Lepisosteus oculatus: one gene and its partner. The protein of the gene in region 1 purifies or fractionates together with the protein of each later gene. This does not show direct contact. Links are inferred from orthologs where the notes say so. Each region holds a gene or a part of one and is shown on either strand. Other genes may lie near its edges. The genes, in order: reps1 and aak1b.

Region 1 (9,883 bases):
ATACTGTAACGCTTACGGCCGACAGGCACTGTGTAAGAGCCGGCGTACCAGAACAGGTGATGTCACCGCCCTTCCCTGTGATAGCAGGACCACAGCTACTGGGCTGTGGAGAGATCTCTTTTTAGCTCACGGGGCTAGGTCACTGCAGAGAGACGCGGAAGTCCCGGGTTCGAGCCTCCAGTCGGGATGGGGCCGACCAGATCCGGCAAGGGCGCCCGCCTGAGCCCCCGTTGCGTTACAATACTCACATCTGTATTATACAGTGTTATTAATTAGAGAGTTACTAATTAAATCAATTTCACTTAAGTAGTACCTATGTTTGCTTTCAGGTATCTTCTGGTAGTTTCTAAATTGTACCCAGTGATAAGGCTGATCCTTATGCTTAAGTACATAAGGGTGCCCATATTTGTTAACACACTAAATAATGAATCCCTACATTTCTTATTAAAAGATATAAGTTATATAATGTTATTCCTCCTGAAGTGACTCCTCTGTCATGTCAGAGTGCTATTAACTAATGTTGTATTTCCCAGCACAATTCTCTGTTAGCCATACAGTATTTCTGTGATTTCAGTTATATGATAATTTTATGCTGTTGCAGTTGCTTCTATGCCTTGAATTTATTATACCAATTCTCCATGCATAGGAGCAACAGTATATTTCCATAATGTGGGAAATAACCCTATTTGTCATAGACATGTTCAAAATATTACAGAAATAAATATGCAGAACAATTGCAAAATTTGCCCATAAACCTTTTATTTACAGTAAAAAATAAATTTGTAGGTGGCCCATCCAACTCAAATAAAAAGAAACCAAATAATTACTTTTTTATTACAAAAATGTACCTAATCATTTGCTCTAAAATACTCTATTAATGAATAACATTATGGCAAACATCATTGCATTTATGAAATGTTTTAGTTGAATCAAATACAAATAAGGAAATGTGCTTTAATGATGCATACATAGTAGTTTTTATTTCTCCTTTTACTGTAGATACTGTGATGTACGCTTCAGGGAAAAAATACATTTGACTAATTTTCTTCTGGCTTCCTCTCCAAGTCCTTGTTAGTGTATTCCCCTGTCTCCTGTGCTCTTTATCGATGTCTTTTTCCTTCTCACACTCTTGATCTCTCATTGCTGGTTTCTCTGCTGCCACAGCCAACATGTGACTCATTTGCCCTTGAGCCCTTGGAAAGCAAACATGATTGATCAGTTTCTTTGGCCAGAGATTAAATGTGGCACAATGATGTGGTTATTAGTTTCTTTGAATAAAATAAAAAAAGCTTAAGAAATGTCCTCTTATAAATCACCTTTTGTTTTTTCTGACTGCTGGAAAGATAGAAAACCTGGATTCATGCTGGTTAAACATAATTAACTATAATGTGGCGTTCTAGGGCAGTTTTCATGCTTCTACAGTATAAACTACTCTTTTTATTACTAAGTTTTTGGAGTAAATTCCATTATTTTATTCACTAAGTAAAACCTATAAAATAAAAGTAAACCTACTACACACAGTATATACTTCTTAAAGATTGTTACCAGTCAAAATCTTCCAAACACTCTTTTATATGTAACTCAAAGTAAATCAAGAGAAGCCAGTGTTTGGACTCCCTTTTTATTCCATTGTACGACATTACTCAAAATAATTCTTAGTCAATTAAGTGGAAGTGTCAAATAGGACAACAGATGCAACAGAATTAAGCAGGATTGAAATAGATTGTTTATTTTGTGTTTCTGATAAATTCATGTGAGTACAGTAAAATCTTTTTTTTTGCTTTTTTGTTTTAGCATTTAGATGTTCTGCAATGTTCAAATTGAAGTTAAAATAATTAAAAATATTTAAAGGCAGTATTAGAATGAATGCGAATACAAAAGCCTCACTCCCCTTCAAACGTGCTCTTGTGGCTAGAAAAGGAAGACGGTATACATCCTGTTTGTGGTTCAACCTTCTCTTCTTCTTACAGAACAATGGAACAATGTTCAGACGGCTAATGAATGTCACAGGTCATGACAGCCATTAGAGGAACAGATTGTGAATTCTAGGATTAAGTAATTTTGGAACAGCGGGCACATTTGCAGGCTTATCTTTTGTTTCAAGAATATTAATGGACTTTTTTTCTTTTTTTCTGCCTTTCTTTTTTTTAATTATATAATTTAAGCATGCCCAAAGGGTTTGGGCAACCAGTTGACCTTGGTCCCTAGAGGTGTTTTTCTCCTTACTAAGGAGTTTTTGGTTCCTCTCCTCCATTGTCTTCTGGTCGTTTCTGTTCTGTATTCACAACATGAAGGGTTACTTGCTTTGTTAAGCGCCTTGGGGCAACCTTGTTGTGAAAGGTGTTATATAAAAATTGAATTGAATTGAACTGAATTGGTTTTCATTAAAAAAAGTATAATTTGCTTCTAAATGTGTAACTTAAAAGTATATTAAGAAAACTGTCAGAATGCATTCTTCACATCAACTCAATATTTTCTTTGTACCATTTTTCAGGGAAGAAAGATAAAGGCAGTACAGAACTGCCTTCTAGCAAGTTTTAGCATAAAGCTAAACTCAGAGAAGATGATGACAGTAGTTGAAAACTACTGACAGGATGATGATATTGGGACAAATTAACTATTTATCACACTACAAAATATGAAGAACTGCAATTGCAAAACAGTGGTATTAACAGAGAAGGGCATCAGTAAGAAAAATGATAATGATAGCTCTGCACTCTGACAAAGATTAACCACTGAAAGGACCGTCGCCATTGGTAGGCTTCTTTATGCTATCGATATCTCACAATTTCACCTCTTGTCTATATCAGTGAGGACAAATGAAAGTTAAATCTAAGGACAGAACTAACTAACTTGTACTAGGAGGTAGAACAAGAAACAACATCAATTGATACAAATAGAGAATGGGACATGCTGATTTTCAGAAGGTTTTAGATAAAGTAACTAATACAAGATTAGTTTTTACTTTGTAAACAGTAGGCATTGCGTTCAAGTTACTGTGTGTTATTGGATTAAGAATTTGTTAATGGAAAGTAATGAGAGGGTACAGATAATTGATGAATACATAAATTGGGATAATGAAATTCTTTATTCCAATTTAATCAATTGGATTAAAAGGTGGATGCTGCACATTGGTGGTGGTGGAGGGTAATCCCCATTACCTGTAAAGCGCTTTGAGTGGAGTGTCCAGAAAAGCACTATATAAGTATAAGCAATTATCAATTATTAATCATCAATTATCAATCATTAATTATTAATTATTAATTATTAATTATTGTTATTATAGTTTTGCCCTCTGAAGGTACACCTGCTATGGCACCTTAGAGGCAGTCAGACATTGGCAGCCTGTCATTCTCTTTGGATGTGAACAAAAACATTGGCATACAGTCCCACTTTACTTTTATTTTATTCTTATAATGAGTTACCAACTCACAGTGAATTGGAAGCATCAATCATGAGAGCTGAAAAAAAATGTCACCTCTTTTGTTTGTCTATTGCTTGTGATGTTTATTATGGACGTGTGTTTTTTTTATAAATATAATATCCATTGTTCAGTTGTCATTAGTTACCCCCTCTAGATGCTTAAATTCAAGATATAGTTGAAACCTTTGTACTTTAATAAATATATTTATTCATTTACTGTGGCTTTGGCAAGCGTCTTCGCTCTCGTATTACCTACTGTATGTTTTAATGGATTTGTGGCTTTCTGCGTCCCTGCCATTGGACTGCCCCTGCCCCTTTCCCTTTCACCTTTGATGAGGCTCACTTCTTCCTCTGCTTCACCTTATATAAGGGAACGGAAGCTTCTGTGCTCTTTTTGTCTTCATCGCTGTTGAGCAGATGCCCCTACACTATATCTTTTTCTTTCTGCTTCTAGCACTTTCGCTGGCACAACCTGCAAGCCCCTCTATAAGCAATAAACCTGTGTGAGCCTGATTCATTTTGATTCAATGCAAGCTTTATTATCCCCCGGGGGAAAATTGTTTTATGGCAGAGTCCAACCAAACAATACAAGAGAAACAAACAGTCATCACCAACAAGACTACAGTACACATAGTTATAGGAGTTATAAGAGTTATTTTACATTGGATGGGAGTGATATTGCAGAGGGGATGAAAGATGTCTTTAGTCTATGATCGTTACACCTTGGGACATAGAAGTGTCTCGGAGATGGGGGATGTTTAAATTCACAAACATATTGCTCTTACAATTTACGGTGCCGAGGTGCCAAACCATCAAGTAAGATACTGTAGTATTGTAAAAACACTTTCAACACTTTATTTGTAAATTGTTTTTAGTTCCCTCTACCTTAAAGAAGCCAAGCTTCCAAAGAAGAAAAAGTCTCTATTAACCTGTTTTGAAATGATATCACAATATGGATTTTTGTCTATTACCAGTCCCAAGTTCTTGAAGTTGTTGGTCAGCTTTAATCACAGTAGGCTGGGGGAAATGTTAATTTTTTCCTAAAACTGATGATTAGTTCTATTGTTTCCAGAATATTTAACATCAAAGCGAGCTCATCACACCACTTAGTAAAATCATTCAGAATGAGCCCCTGATGATTTTCCATTTCCGTGTAATAAGGTGACCAGGGCTGTGTCATCAGAAAACTTAATGAAATGTTTGTCTGTGTGTTTGCTCTTACAATTGTTAGTGTACAAAATGTACAATATGGGAGAAGAGATGCAGCCCTGTGGTGATCCAGCTCCTGTTGTTCCTTCTACACCAGCTGACACTAGGTAAACTGAAGTATTATGTGGTGTGTAAAGGGAAAAGCATATTTTCAATATCTGTGGATCTGTTTACAAACAATATAGCCTTGTGACCCTCGTAATCTTGACAGCTCAGAGCTTCCTCTCATCTTCCATATGACTGCTCTCTATGTTTAGTTCTTGTGCATTTCCCTTTTCTGACACATTTGAACAAAAAGCAGTGTGTTGCTGGTATTTTTGTAAGCACAAGGCATATGCCTTTTCAGTGCTCATCCTTTTCTTTTTAATATTTGGTGCAAAAAACCTAAGTGTATAGCGAAAATCTACACACACTCACACTTGTTCTGTTAGTTGACAGGGTGATGAGGCTGTATGTCCACTTGCAGGTGGAGAGACTATTACAAAATTCCAATTCACACAGACGTATAAGGTCAATATTTTAACATTGTTTCAAAATTGTAAATAAAAATAATGCAGTTTACTTAATTAATTTATTTTTATAGGTGCACTGCTTTTTAAATATGCCCTGAATATTTGCTGCCTTTTATACGTTAATATAAATAATAAATAATATAGGGGGCAGTTGATACAGATCACATAAACATGGGATCTTAACACCAAATATAAATAAAAAAGTTTATTGGTATGTTCCTTCCTCAGGGTGACTCATTTTCGCAGCAGCTAGACGGTTATTATTTGAGGCTAGGCGTGGTAAAGAAAGAAAGCTGACTCGTCACTTTTCATGTAACAGGAGATGCTGCTTCACTGCCGTATCCATATGGACACTGCACAGAACCAGCAGCTGCTCCAGTTGCTGGCATGCAGTAGCCATGCCCAGCCCGCATGCCTGGCAGACGGGGCGACTGACTGTGTTGATACGCTCCATCCGGGTCTTCTCTCCTCCTCCCCCTCGCAGTCCCGAGACCTTCGCTGACTCGCTCTGTCTGTGTAGTGACGTCACGGGGCGCAGGAATGGCGGCGCTGGCTGTTAGAGGAAGGAGCCCAGAGAGCCTGAAACTTTATTTATACCATCAATCACTGAATTAAAAACGAGAAGAAAGAAAGAGAAGGAGAAACTTTACACAGCTACGGAAGGAAATACACGGAACTTTATCCAGTACCGCAGGCCTTGTGATTATCGACGTTTTGGGGGTGCTGGCTCACTTGATGTAGCGGTGCATTTGTGAAAGAAATCCTGCCCATTTCTTTCTTTTATTTTTAAAAGTTTAATTTTTCCCTTCTGACCTTTTGGTGCGGGGGATCGGTGGATATTTCGTCTCTGGGCTTTTAGCCGTTTGTCTTTTTTTATACTACCATGGAAAGTTTAACCCTAAGTGATGTGGAGCAGAAATACTACTCGGACTTGTTCACCTACTGCGACACGGAAAACACCAAGAAAGTGGCTTCAAACGGCAGAGTCCTGGATCTCTTCCGAGCGGCCCAGCTGCCCAGCGAGGTGGTCCTGCAGGTATAAACAGATCTGCCCGAACCGTAAATAGCCGACATAGCGGCGAAACTTTCCGCAGCACGCCTGGTTGAAACCGAGGTCGGTTTTAAACTGGGGGGTAGGCTTGGCGTTGACAATGTAGATCTGCCTACCGGCGCTCTTCCGTTTATTGCTAACTTCACTCTATTAGGTTTGTGGGATTTGGTTAAATCAGACGTGAAGTCTTACAGGCAAATATTTTGATAAATAATGTGCATGCTACGTTTTAAACGAGTAATGTTGACTATTTGTAGGTGGTGCGTAAGAGAGAGAGATGAGAGAGTTTCATTCTTAATGAGTGATTTACTCCTATTAGACTCGCACTGTTTTGGGCAAGTGCTTTTTAAATCACGCAGAATTAAATAGTTTATTTTCGCTCATCGACATCTTCCAACAGCAAGCCGCCAGTTCTTAAATGTGCACGATGTTTCTGGGGGGGTATTAAACCCCTTTTGTATAGGTGTGGCTATGGAGACGTTGCCCCTTTCCTTTTTTTTTGATCACGAGATGATTTCTCACCACATGAAAACAACTGTTTAACGGACACTCGGGAATCATTTTGTTCCATGTTACACATCTGTACACCCAAAACCTTCATTTTAGTATCTGACTATATTATATATGAACCTGGTCTGTAGTTCTGTGGCAGTGAGCAGCTTCCGGCCTACTGCTTTAGCGTCAGAGCATCGATAGGCATGATACCACACTGATTTTAGGGATTGGATGGTTGGAAAATTGTGTCGCGGCTGGTACCTATTTTTTTCTTGTTCGTTTGAAAAGTGTAAATGTAACTATTAGGCCCTTCAACTAGTGTACTATCAGTGCACACCCAATTACTCGGAGGCTAGGAAAAAATGGATTTGAAGTCCAAACAACAGCTGAAATCAATTCATCACGTCATTTATGCTAAGCATCTTGTGTTCTCATACATATACGTGCTGGTGGCTGATGTATTGTCTTGATTCAGTGTCCAGATGTTGAAGAACCGATAACAGGCTGAATTAAAAGAAATGGGATCTTGAGCTAGTCAAAACACTTTGTCACATGCATGTTTTAAGTAGCGGATGCTTGTTTTGCTGAATGCACTCAAGCAGTGCATAGAATTCCGACTCACTAGTGTCAAAGGGGTGTGTCGGGTATTGAGGATTTTTTTAAGTGTCAGTACAGCACGTTTAGTCACGTTCTGCCACTTCATGCTGTTGCAGCGGCTGATGAGGCAGATAAGAAATCGCTAAGCGAAAACACGTTTTGTTGGGCAGCAGTTTTGAATCCCTCTTGAGTTAACACCGGTGATACACAGGTCAGTTGATGATTCATAAGATGCAACGCGTTGTTCAAGTTAGAACGGGTCACATGATCCCAGAACACAATTTGTTTTTCGCACTGAGTACTTCTTACGTTTAGGGGACTTCCATGCAGTTAGGTTTACCCCGGTCTTGAATATATTCTTTCAGTTTAACTCTCCTGTTGACACACATTTGCAATTTGGTCGTGGATCTTAAGTCTGGAAAGTTTTCTGTAAATGCATGGAATTGTTTTAAAATTTTATACAATTCATGAGTAGGTGACTGACAAATAGTAACTCGTGAATCATGATTTGAAATCTTTCCAATTTTGCCATACAGTAGTAATTATTAAATGGGGAATGTTTTTAACACTCGATTTCATATTAAAAGTCAATGAGTGTAAATGTGTGAAATTGTGAGTAGTAACAGCATACTAAGAAATTCAAATAATGAAGACCCTTATGTGAAACAAATCTCCACATGTTGTTCTGTCTTTAGTATTTTTGTAAGTGCCTTTATTTACAGTAGAGCTATTCACACACCTGTAGGTATTAGATTCGGTTTAACGTATAAGAGGACGTTTTACTTTTAGACACTTTTGTTTTTGACTTTTTGCACAATATGTTGACTTTTTAATTTGAACATTGGGGATAATTTTCTTTCTAATAGCGGAATTGATCTTGGGATCAACCCTGTTGTTGTCTTGAAGGAAGCCAGGTTTTATGTTTTAGAGTTTCACATTTTTAACTGGATAACTTGTTCCAGGCTCCTGCACCCCATTTTGCAAACAAAATGTCTTCTGTCTCAGTATTTATGGACTTACTTAGCTGGACATCATACAGTTTTACTGAATTCCAAGATTTCACTGAGATCTGGATACAACTGGGTAAGCTCACATTGAGCATGCCTTATGTAATGTTTTTTCTTCATGATCGCAAGTGATATTTTGAGCATAACTTGGAGTCTGCTCTTTTATTGCAAGAAAACTAAACTAGAGGGCCCAAAGTTTGATTGTTAATTGCCAGCTGTTCAGCTGTATGATTAAAGCAGTAGTCAGATAGATTCTGCAATAGATGCATTTTTCATCAGGGCTAAATTTGTCTGTTTCCTTGCAAAATCCCAGCTAAATTATAAGGCATCCCAGACACAGCATTTGGCATGCAACCCCCTGAGCTGGTACATTCTTCTCATTCTGGTAGGAGTTTTATTTGTATTTGAAAACTGACCAGGGGCTTCCTGTGTTTAATAACATGTTTGACGGTACCTGTGTTAGTCTAGACATTTGCATCTGTTTGTTATAAAAGTACATTACATTTTGAGTGTACACTGATTTTTTTTTTGTAAAGGGCCATTGTATTTTATTTCAGATTAAATATGTTATTAGATATTAAGTGATGCTGTTCATGTTTTTTTTTCTTCTGAATTTATCAGACTTCTTATAAGATAAATAAGATGCTTTCAGTAGTTCTGAAATACTGATATTAAAGGCAGAACAAATGGGTTTTCTTCCCAACAGAACTGGAAAGGTGAAAACATGAAAGAACAGATTGATAAATAGGTATTGTATTTCTTATAAGTAATTTAAAATGTTATTACTAAGAATTAGACTGTCACATTCCTAGAGTATTATGTTAAAGCTAACAACCACACCTTTCTAGGTTTTATTTTGTGTAATCTTAGAACAGTAAAAGAGTGAAAAAATGAATGTTATGTAAAAAGGTCCTCTGAATATCCCAAAGGCTTTCATTTGTCTTCCAGATCACTGAACTATGTGGTGCAACTCGTCTTGGATATTTTGGACGAAGCCAGTTCTACATTGCATTGAAACTCATTGCTGTTGCACAGTCTGGACTGCCACTGCGGGTAGAAAGCTTAAACACGGGTAAGATGAGACTGGAATCCCAGAAGAATTGTTTTAGCTTAATTTTGTTTCTAAAATTTAGTGTTTTCATGATTACAATCAAAGCATGTCTGCATAGAGGATCTGTTTTTATTCTGAAGAGCTAATCATGTTTTTTTTGCCTCACTCTTCACCAGCAGTCACCTGATGGAGGCTTTATTGTTTTCAGGAGGTTCTGTCCCCATCCTGTTCAGCCTGCACATTTCCAAAGGCACTTCATAGAACTCCTGACGTTCCAAAAATATTGTTATGCTTAATTGTTAGATCACAATATATATATATTCATAGAAATCTATAGTGTAAATAAACATGGGGTTTAATTACATTGTTAAAGCTGACACTTTACAAAACATTGTTGAAAGCTGCTGTGCTCTATTATGTTGTGCTGTATTATTAGTGTGTCCTTTTACACAGGTTTTATTTAAGTAAACAGACATCTCAGTCTCGGAGAACACCTGTTTATTCTGGACCTATACATAGCACTGACAAATTATAAGTA
Region 2 (9,379 bases), about 52 Mb from region 1:
TCAGTAAATAAGTAAAAATAGAAATGACAAAGAAAACAGCGAGGTAGGCACCACTTAGAATTGCAATGCCTGTGCTGCACAGAAGACAATGAAGGCAATGTCCGTGAAGAAGGGAGCAGTGTGTAGGCGAGGGATCACTGACTACAGTGAGGAAGGAAGGCCACTGAGCAGAGAGTTTCATCAGTCAGTGGTAAACATCTCCAGCAGGGCGACAGAGATCCTACAGGTAATGTCTGCACAGGTGAGGCCCGAGGAGACACGGAACGGAGGTCAGGGGCTGAGCACTCCTGATTTGAATGGGTGGTTCTCTCCTTCCCTGCCGAGCCGGGGGTGAGAATGCAGGGGCCCTGGGGGTGCAGGAGGGGAGAGGCGGAACAGTCTAGAGACAAGGGCAGAGAGAACAACACGTACACTGCATTATGGTTTGGTTTGTCGCCCTATAAAAGCAAATGTGTAAATGTCCCCCAGTGTCTCTGAGAATGATTTATTAGTAGAAAACTATTTCAGTCTGATGAGGATGCAAATCCCTTACACAAGGGTGTCCTTTTTGCATACTAGCACAGTGACATGAAGGAAATGTAGTGAAATGAATGGATGTGTTTTTTGCAGTGTACATTAGATGCACTTTAGCAGCTCCCCACCTGACAGTAGGGTGTCCCTTTATACAGTATATCTGTGATTCTATAACTGTGTATACAATGTATCAGACTTCTCAATAGTTTTCTTAAAGGTTATTCTAGATGCACAATACAGAAAGCATTATTTGCTGTAATGTTTGGTACTTTATTGAAATTCTCCTTCTTGTATAGCACCACACCCACAATAACATGTGGAGTTGTTGACCTGGTTAATTCTGCACTTTTAAGGGAGTTTCCTTCACAGACAGGGTAAAGGAATCAAATCTCTTTTGCCTCAGAAACTATTACCGATGGACCTGCGACAAGCTTTCAGAATCCTGAAAAGTATTCCCAAAACCAGACAAGTGGATTTGAGGATCCACGAAATGCAGACCAGAGAACACAAGTGCAAAGTAAATGAGGCATTAAAGATCTGGAACAAGAGTTTTACAAAAATGTCGAGGGAGTCTGAAACAAGCCATTTGCTGAATCTGATGCCATGAATAAAACTCTTAAAACAAAATGGCATTAAAAATAAATTAAATGGGCTTTTCTTTTGTTCTTATAAACAGGTAAATGCTTTTTCTTCATGTAGAGTGCAACAAGCAGCTTACGAAAGTAGTCCTAGGGGTTTGAATATGCAAAACAAAGCAAGAAACTACCCTTAAACAAATACTGTAATAATCAGTTTCCCTGTCCCATCATGCCTAGGCTGGACACGTGCTACACTTACAGGTAGTTGATATCATTCTGTTAATAGTGATATTACTTGTGCTGTGTCAATACAGAGCTTTTTATGTGGACAATATCAATGTTTTAGCATAACTATGTTCAATGTTGGAATCACTTGAAGATACAACATGACAGTCTAAGAATAAAGATTAAATGAATGACTGAATACATACAGTATTTAAGTAATAAACAGTCCACTTTTATAGACTCTGGCTCCTGTGTCCCTGAATTGGATTAAGTGATTAGACAGATGAGTAGATAGTGGATAGCCCACTTTAAGCAGTATTAAAGTACTTCTTAAAATAATGAATTATTCCATGACTGATATTTTAGTTTTGTTTCACATTTCAGACCATATATCATATACTGCAAGTAAAAAATGTTTAATCTGTCTAATCTGTTTACTTACTGCATTGTCTTGTAATTGTAATTGTCACATAGATCAATATAAAAGTATTTATTTAACACTGTTTTTCTGAGCTTTATTTTTATCATATTTGTCAATGATCTATCCCTCATACTTCAAGTGTGTTGTAGACTTTCTTCACAGAGAAAAAAGAGAAAGCAAGAGAGTTCCTTTAAACATGCTGGAGCTCGAAGGCCTGTTACAAATCACCAAAACGAAAAGAGGCTCGGGCTAGGCAGCTTGTCGGACAGGTGTTGCAGTCCAGCTGTATTATAAGAGCTGTTAGTCAGGAGTCTTATCAGAAGATGGTCAAGCTGAAGAAAATTATCTCAATAGGAAAGAGGGTTATAGAGAAGAAGGTCTAGTCCAGGTAAATAAGCATTACCACCAAACATCACAGGCTCTTAGAGTCTTAAAATGTCAGATCACAGAAGGTAAACATGCCTGGGTGTGGTCAGTACCATGATGGTAGATCTTTAAGGAAAACCTGATGACTCCTGGAAGCGGTGTAACCGGTCTGCATAAGAACAGGCTGCAATTACACAGGGACTACCAGTAGAGGCCGCCAAAGGTACTCCAATTTGTGTGACACGACTCCAGCTGTTGACTTTTAGATTGTGGTGAAGGAGATGGAGAAATACACTTTCTCGCTGGCCTTTTCTTGTATGTTCCCATCCAGGGAGACCACGGTATTTGAGGGTAGGCTCTACGGATGGTGATCTTGGCAGCACTCTTCCACTCTTTTTTAAACCACAGTTTCTAAAAACCAATGCCCCATTACAGTGACCTGGGACACTGTGCTGTGGGAAGTTGAGATAAGATGTTATTCTGTTCTGGATTTGTCAGACAACCTGGCCTGCTTGATGTTCCCTCTTAATTAAATTGATTAAGCAATCTGCTCACTTATCTTCCAGTTCTGTTGAGTAGAAGGGCTGCTGATACTGTACATAAAGATTATCATGCATCATTTTAAGGATCACCCTAACTCACTCACAAGGTGCAAGGCACTAATCAGATTCTGTTTTCATGGACCTCTTTCCCTGGTACCAGTTAGAACAATGCTATTTATATTATTATCCAGACTATTAATTTTGCCGGATAACACAAATAAAAATGTCACATAACTACGTGCATTAAAACTACTTTGAAATATTGCGTGTAATACAGTACATAGAAGATTAAAAACGCATCCAGCTACCTGGGACTGCTGACTACAGTCCCCAGTCGTATGATATAAATAAATTAAAGCTCATTATTTATAATTAGATTAATGACGTAACTGAGACTTCATATGAGATGGGCAAAAACTAGAAAACCCTATACAAGTCACAGACTGGAGCCTGAGTCCCCATTGTTAATGTATGTGATCCATGTAGGAAATACACTTTTGTATTGTACTGAATGGAACTGCACACTGTGACTGCATGAGATGCTTTTTGAAAAAAAACACACACACACCACAGAAAGAACAAAGACACAGGCTCCACCTGGTCTGGAATGAATACCTCAATATACCTTTGAGATATCCCCCCCCAGAATTAATATTTCATATTTTCCCAGTCTGTTTTGAATAGGCTTGACACACTGAGAAGCATGGGTCTTGTGTTGCTTTTAATCAAGTCAGAGTCGTAGAAGTAAAGAATTCTAGCTGTAGGGATTAAGAGGAGTTGCTTATTGCTGACTGTTTTTCAGTAAAGAAATAAGATTTCAGTGACTGTTAATGAAGTACATAGTAATGTTTAGGTTACAGTTTACTTTATACATGACTAAGTGAATGACTACATTGTTCTACTTCAATATTATATTGAATATATATATATATTTAGGAATATATTAGGTATATGGCTATTTAACATTCCAAATATTGGAATATTAATAACTACTGATGATCCTCATACTGCTAATAATAATTCAGAAAGAATAAAAGTATAGTGTACTAAATTCAAAGGCCATTTCCTTTACTCAACACAGAACATAAGCAGTGATGTGATGGCTCCCTCTTAAGGACGTTTTACGCTGTTACCTAGCAGTTATTTTTATATAGATACTTTAATGATCCAGTTAGGAAAATTGCATGTTTATAAGAAAACAGGAAGGGTTACAAACAAGAAGAGGTCATTCAGCCCAACTAGTCTGTTTGTTCATTTGTAGTTGATTGATCTGGGGATTTCAGATGCTGTTTCCTGAATGAAGCCAGCGTATTGGCTTCACCAACTCAGCCAGATAGCTTGTTCCACTCTTCCACCACCCTTTGGGTAAATAAAACAGTCTTCTGTTCTCTGGTTCATGTTTTGCTCTTCATTCTGAAGACGTCCACTGGGCGAGACTTTGTAAAATCCCTTGAAGATTCTGAAAATTTGTATCACATTCCGTTTTAGTCTTCTGTGTTCAAAACTATAAACGTTCAGTTCTTTTATCATGTCAGTGTGGAACATTTTGCTCATGAAGGAGATGTGGAAAATAATATTTATTTCTAATTATACCCTTTTCAGGTCAGTTGCAATAGTAGCACCAACAATAGCATCATTTAAGTAATTCTTATCCTGATTATTGTAATCGGTCATGAGACAGAGTGACTGTCATAATAACGTGCTCTAGTGTACGGTACCATCTGAATATAAAAAGGGATATAGAGAGAACGTGATGCACTTCTTGGTTGAAATGAATCTAGTCCTATATGTGCAGAACTTCTTTTGGGGGTAGAAAAGGCTATACAGATAAAATTATATTTAAAATTAATACTTAAAAGTATCCTAATATTGTTTTCATTTAATTGAGAAATTAAAACCATAAAACATCTATTACTTTTTTTGTTTTATATCGTGATATATTATGTGAATATTAATGCGTTATTTTAGTGCAATATTTATTTTCTACTATCGATGTTTTGTGTATGCCTGTGCATCTGTGTGGTTATATGCAGATACATATATACATAAGGAATTATGACTTTAAAATATATGCAGTATATAGATTATGCGCAGTCATTTATTGATGTACTGCATCGTGAAAGCTAGAAGGCAAAATGGCTCAAAATGTTTGCATTTTTGTGAATTAATTCTGACCGCCCAAGGTCATGGGCGAAGATCAGACAGAAAGGGAAAAAGAGATAGTCTCGGGTTCGTTCATTCATAGTATTCATTCCAAGATGTGGCCTTTCTGTTAAAACTGCAACATCTACACCAAAAACGACAATACCCAGTTGGTTATATATACACATATTATGAATTGAGGACTACACTACAACCTATTCATGTCGCTTCAGAAAGTTTCTAAGGATAGTCGATACCAAACGATATCCAGAGTTTTTCTGGTGAGCAAAAAAACACTACGAGTACCACAATGCTTTGAGAGAAAGGGGCTGATTTCTGTCAACATCGTATTTCAAACTACTTTTGAAATGTAATGCATTGTACGAGGCCGACACACGCATACTGCTCTGTACAATGATTTGGTTTATTTTTAAAATTGTATTAGGAAAATGTTTAATCGACTCTAATTGCGGATGGGAGTTGTAGTTCTTGAGTTGTCACTTTGCGCTCCTACTTTCCTCACCCAGTGGGTGTAAACCAGCCCGGGACTACAATTACCATCCTTCGCCGCGGAGTGACAGTAATTCAGATTATCGTCTTTATTTTTATTTTCAGATTTTAGGAAAGACGATATCGCGTATCTGCAGTGAATCTCAGTGCACCGAGGCCTAAAAATGCGATAGAGTGGAGAAGTTGTTTTTTCCATTTCCTGTTTTGTTGTATTTCCTGGTATGGGGACGAGCCGCTCAGCTGTTTTTTAAGAGCAAACCTAGACGTTGAAATAAACCAGAGGGGGTTTGGGAAAAAAAGGGCTCTGGTTAATTGGGAATTCGTACATAAAATAAACCCCACAGAAGAGGCCGAAAAGGCTTTGAAGAAATCGTGAAAGACAAGATAAATATACCATACTGATGGCAGGGCTGGAAGGAGAGATTTTCGAATAGAAACAAGCATCCGAACTGGGGCAGGATTTTTTTTTTAAGCTACACAATCATTGCACCAGTTCGCTCGCATCCCTGGCTGGCGTGATGAAATGAGTCTCTACCCATGCCTTATTTACCAAGGCTCCGGGGAAGCAATGGAGAAGACGCTGTTTTAAGCTGAGAAGGGAAGAAAAGAATAAAAAAAGATCGCTTAGCTTTGCTATTGCAATAATTGTATTTAACGCCTGAGCATCTTAGCGACATCGTCGGAAGGGGGTAGCTTTTTAATTTTCTTTATTTTTTTTTTATTTATTCGTCATGGATTCGGCCACTTGCTTCTGGGGCGCCTAACCAGTTTAACCTTGGGCTTTTCTTACGTGGAAGATAGGAAAGTGACAGCCGTATTGCAAGGGGCTGTTTTGCCAAAGCATAAGCAGACAGGATCCCTTTGGCACGTTTTCAGGTTCAGCTGAATAGCTGTCATAGCCGGGACACTCGCCGGATTTGGCACTTTTGGCGCTGCCAGTGTTATACCGCCTTCACACCGGAGCTCGAACCTGGCTGGGGCGGACCGGGACGTTTCCTTGGGATTGCTTTCTCTTTTCGCACATTGAACTTCTTTCCTCCTCCTCCTCCTCCTCCCCCCGTCCCGTCGTCCGACTGCCGGGGAAGATGAAGAAGTTTTTCGACTCTCGTCGGGAGCAGGTCGGCTCCGGCCCGGGCTCCGGCGCCGGCGGAGGCGGCGGGAGCGGGTCCGGCGGCGGCGGCAGTTACATTGGAAGGGTGTTCAGCGTCGGACGGCACCAGGTCACGGTGGAGGAGACGCTGGCGGAAGGTGAGAAACGGCCCGGGCACCCTCAATAGCTGCTGCTTTGTCAGTGTGGTTGATGTTCACACGCTAGCAAGTCACCGCTCACCGCTTTTCTGCAATGGGATGGTTAGCGCGTTTTCCACCTGAGGGCTGTTTGGTGAACTCTACCCTGTGGGCGCCACTGTGGACGTTGTCTGGGACTGGGCTCCGTCATACTGCAGTGCATGCTGTGTATGTGAGCCTAAAATATAGATCAGGCTTTAAAACCACTAACGGGTCCATACATGCCACACAGGTGCAGAGCACTTTAGCACTTGCACCCCATCTATAATAATCTTAGATAAGATTTGATTGTAAAGCTTGGACTCAGCTCCCTCAGTCGAGAGACCACACAGACCAGATCCTTCCTGTTCTTGTTTGGCCAAGCATTTTTGCTCTTTATGTGTGGAAGCTTATGAGGTGCTCCCCAATAGGAAACGGGGATTCTCAGAAGCACCCCCTACTTCTGCAAGAGTGGGAGGGGAAAAGTGTGAACCCCTTCACCTGATAATTCCCTGAGATTTTGGGCCCATGTGTGATGAATGAACACGGAGGAGGTGGGCAGGTCCATGTTGTTGTCTTCCTCTTTCCTGTCGCTCCGTTCCTTAGTCATCATGACATTATCTTGGTGAGTGGTTTTCTTGTTGCTGATACTTTGCGGTTTGCTCTACGTGTTGCTAATGAGCGACACCCTCTATTCGGCACCCCTCCCCACACCAGAAAAAAACCCAACAGATTGTCACAATAACTTCTGCAGGAACATACCAAGAACTGTGCATGCAGCAGTCTTATGAAAACACACTCACACATGCAAGTGGAGATATATCACACAAAGAAAAGGGTACTAGGTGTTTCCTCTAGAGAATCTATAAAGTTCGTTGAGGGTTAGCGTTAGTATTTGGATTGTGAATGAAGGAAAAGGTAAATGTATTGAACATATGCCCTGGAATCATCGGAGAGATTCTTGTAAAACTTAAACACATCCATATACTCAAAAAAAGGCTTCTCAGGAGACTGACACTGAGATTTTCTGAGACCGAGATATAAATAACACTCCCCATGTTAAAGCATTTCCAACCATTCCAGGGTTGAATGCTCCTCTGTATGACTCAACACGAGCTGCTGGATGTTTCATGCTGCTTACCTTTTTTGGGATAAGATGTGGAGTGCAAATATGAAGGAAAGTTCTTTGCCTGGTTAATTAACCGAGTTGCAGAAGCAAATCCGCACTAAGTTCAAAAGGCGAATTCATACGTTCTGTATGACATGGAGCAAACCAAAAAAAAAAATGAAACCGTGCTCCTTCAGTCACAATCGGTTCCATGAACCTTGTTTTGTGTTATTTGTATTCTACACACCTGTGCCTGCTTATATGCTTACCAGAAACGTCCCAAGCAGCTGTTCTCTCTGGCTTTGATTTTTAGAATTAGTTTAGCGTGTGGTCGCTGGTATATTGATCTGTACAATGCTTTTGAAGTGTCCAGGATAACAAAGATGTTTTGACATAAGATGCATGGTGGAATTAAACGGCCAGCGCTCACCTGAGAATATCTGAGGTGGGTGGAGAGGAACAGCTGGATCTGTGCCACTGGGCTTGCAAGCCAGGATGTCTCCAAGACATTGTGGGCTTCATTCGAATGGCAATTGCAAGGACAGCATGTTCCCTGGTTTCTGCAATATAGCCGAACAGCTACGCCTTAAAAGCAAAATCCAGCAAGTACTGCAGTCAGCAGAGAAGGCCGTGAGCATTCACAGCTTAGGTTCTTGTGTAAACAGCTGTGTGCTGAAAAGGGAAAATAAATTATTCTAAAATAGCTGCGTCGGTGGCAGATTCATTCAAAAATCAATTGCATCAAGTGCTTCAAAAGCAGTGAAAACGGTGCACATACTGTACCTATCCCACAGTAGAGTTAATCTTTAAGCAGAGTATGTAGTGGAACCCTATGGCCAGGGGTAATAATGTTAATGTAATAATAATAATAATGTTAATCATAAGAATGTTTCTTTATTAGCCCTGTACAATTTCTTGCATTAGGAATTCGTCTTTTTGCATACCACAGCTTTTCTCCATGGAGACACAGACACACAGACAGGGAGAGAAGCTTGGGTTCAGAGCGCAGGGTCTGCCATTTTACAGCGCCCCTGGAGCAGTTAGGGTTAAGGGCCTTGCTCAGGGGCCCAACGGAGTAGGATTCCTCTGCCGGCCACGGGATTTGAACCGGCAACCTTCCAGTCACAGGCGCGGATCCTGAGCCACAGAGCCACCGCTCCGCCCTCAGACTCGAGTCTGGAGTGTCTTACCTCTGGAGATCAATGGTTCATGTTCGGGCTGTGAATCTCATTGATTGTGCCTGGCAGTCTGCAGCCAGGAGCTCAGCCCTGGACTGAGCCCTGTAGGACCCGTCCAGTTCTCGGTTCTCTGGACTGGGAGAAGTTGTCGGTGCACTCCCAGCGTGTCCTGTTCTGGATGAGCTGCGCATGTTTTTAGTTGCTATTTGTCGGATCTGTCTGCCATCTCATTTGCAAATCCCAAGGTGCTTCAACCCTGTCAATCCGGTCAGCAGTAAACACAGCTCCTGTGTATCATGGCAGATGCTATAGAAAACGAACTGTACTCACACTGTTTAGTCCCCCTCCATAAGAAACAATTGAAATAAAGCTGGAATGAGAGAGTAGATGTGCCTGTGATGGACTCTTAAAGGAGCACTTCAAGCTTCGCTTCTGGCCCTCCTGCTGTGTGTCTTGCTGTAATGTGCGATGTTCTGTTTTATGATTGTTTCAGTTTTCAGTGTTGATTGATCGAAACTCTGGTGGCAAAC

Evidence for each region.
Region 2: the proteins of reps1 (region 1) and aak1b purify together in Homo sapiens (affinity purification with mass spectrometry; 3 studies listed by BioGRID and IntAct, counting the BioPlex papers as one, with this or other methods). This does not show direct contact. The link is inferred for Lepisosteus oculatus from reciprocal best matches to the Homo sapiens genes REPS1 and AAK1.

What each region holds. Positions count from the first base shown.
Region 1 is NC_090697.1:20,321,594-20,331,476, forward strand, and holds the start of reps1 (ralBP1-associated Eps domain-containing protein 1), read left to right. Parts: upstream 1-5,639; 5' UTR 5,640-6,027; coding exon 6,028-6,180; intron 6,181-9,242; coding exon 9,243-9,366; intron 9,367-9,883. UniProt on the Homo sapiens protein: May coordinate the cellular actions of activated EGF receptors and Ral-GTPases.
Region 2 is NC_090697.1:72,602,578-72,611,956, reverse strand, and holds the start of aak1b (AP2-associated protein kinase 1), read left to right. Parts: upstream 1-5,374; 5' UTR 5,375-6,382; coding exon 6,383-6,545; intron 6,546-9,379.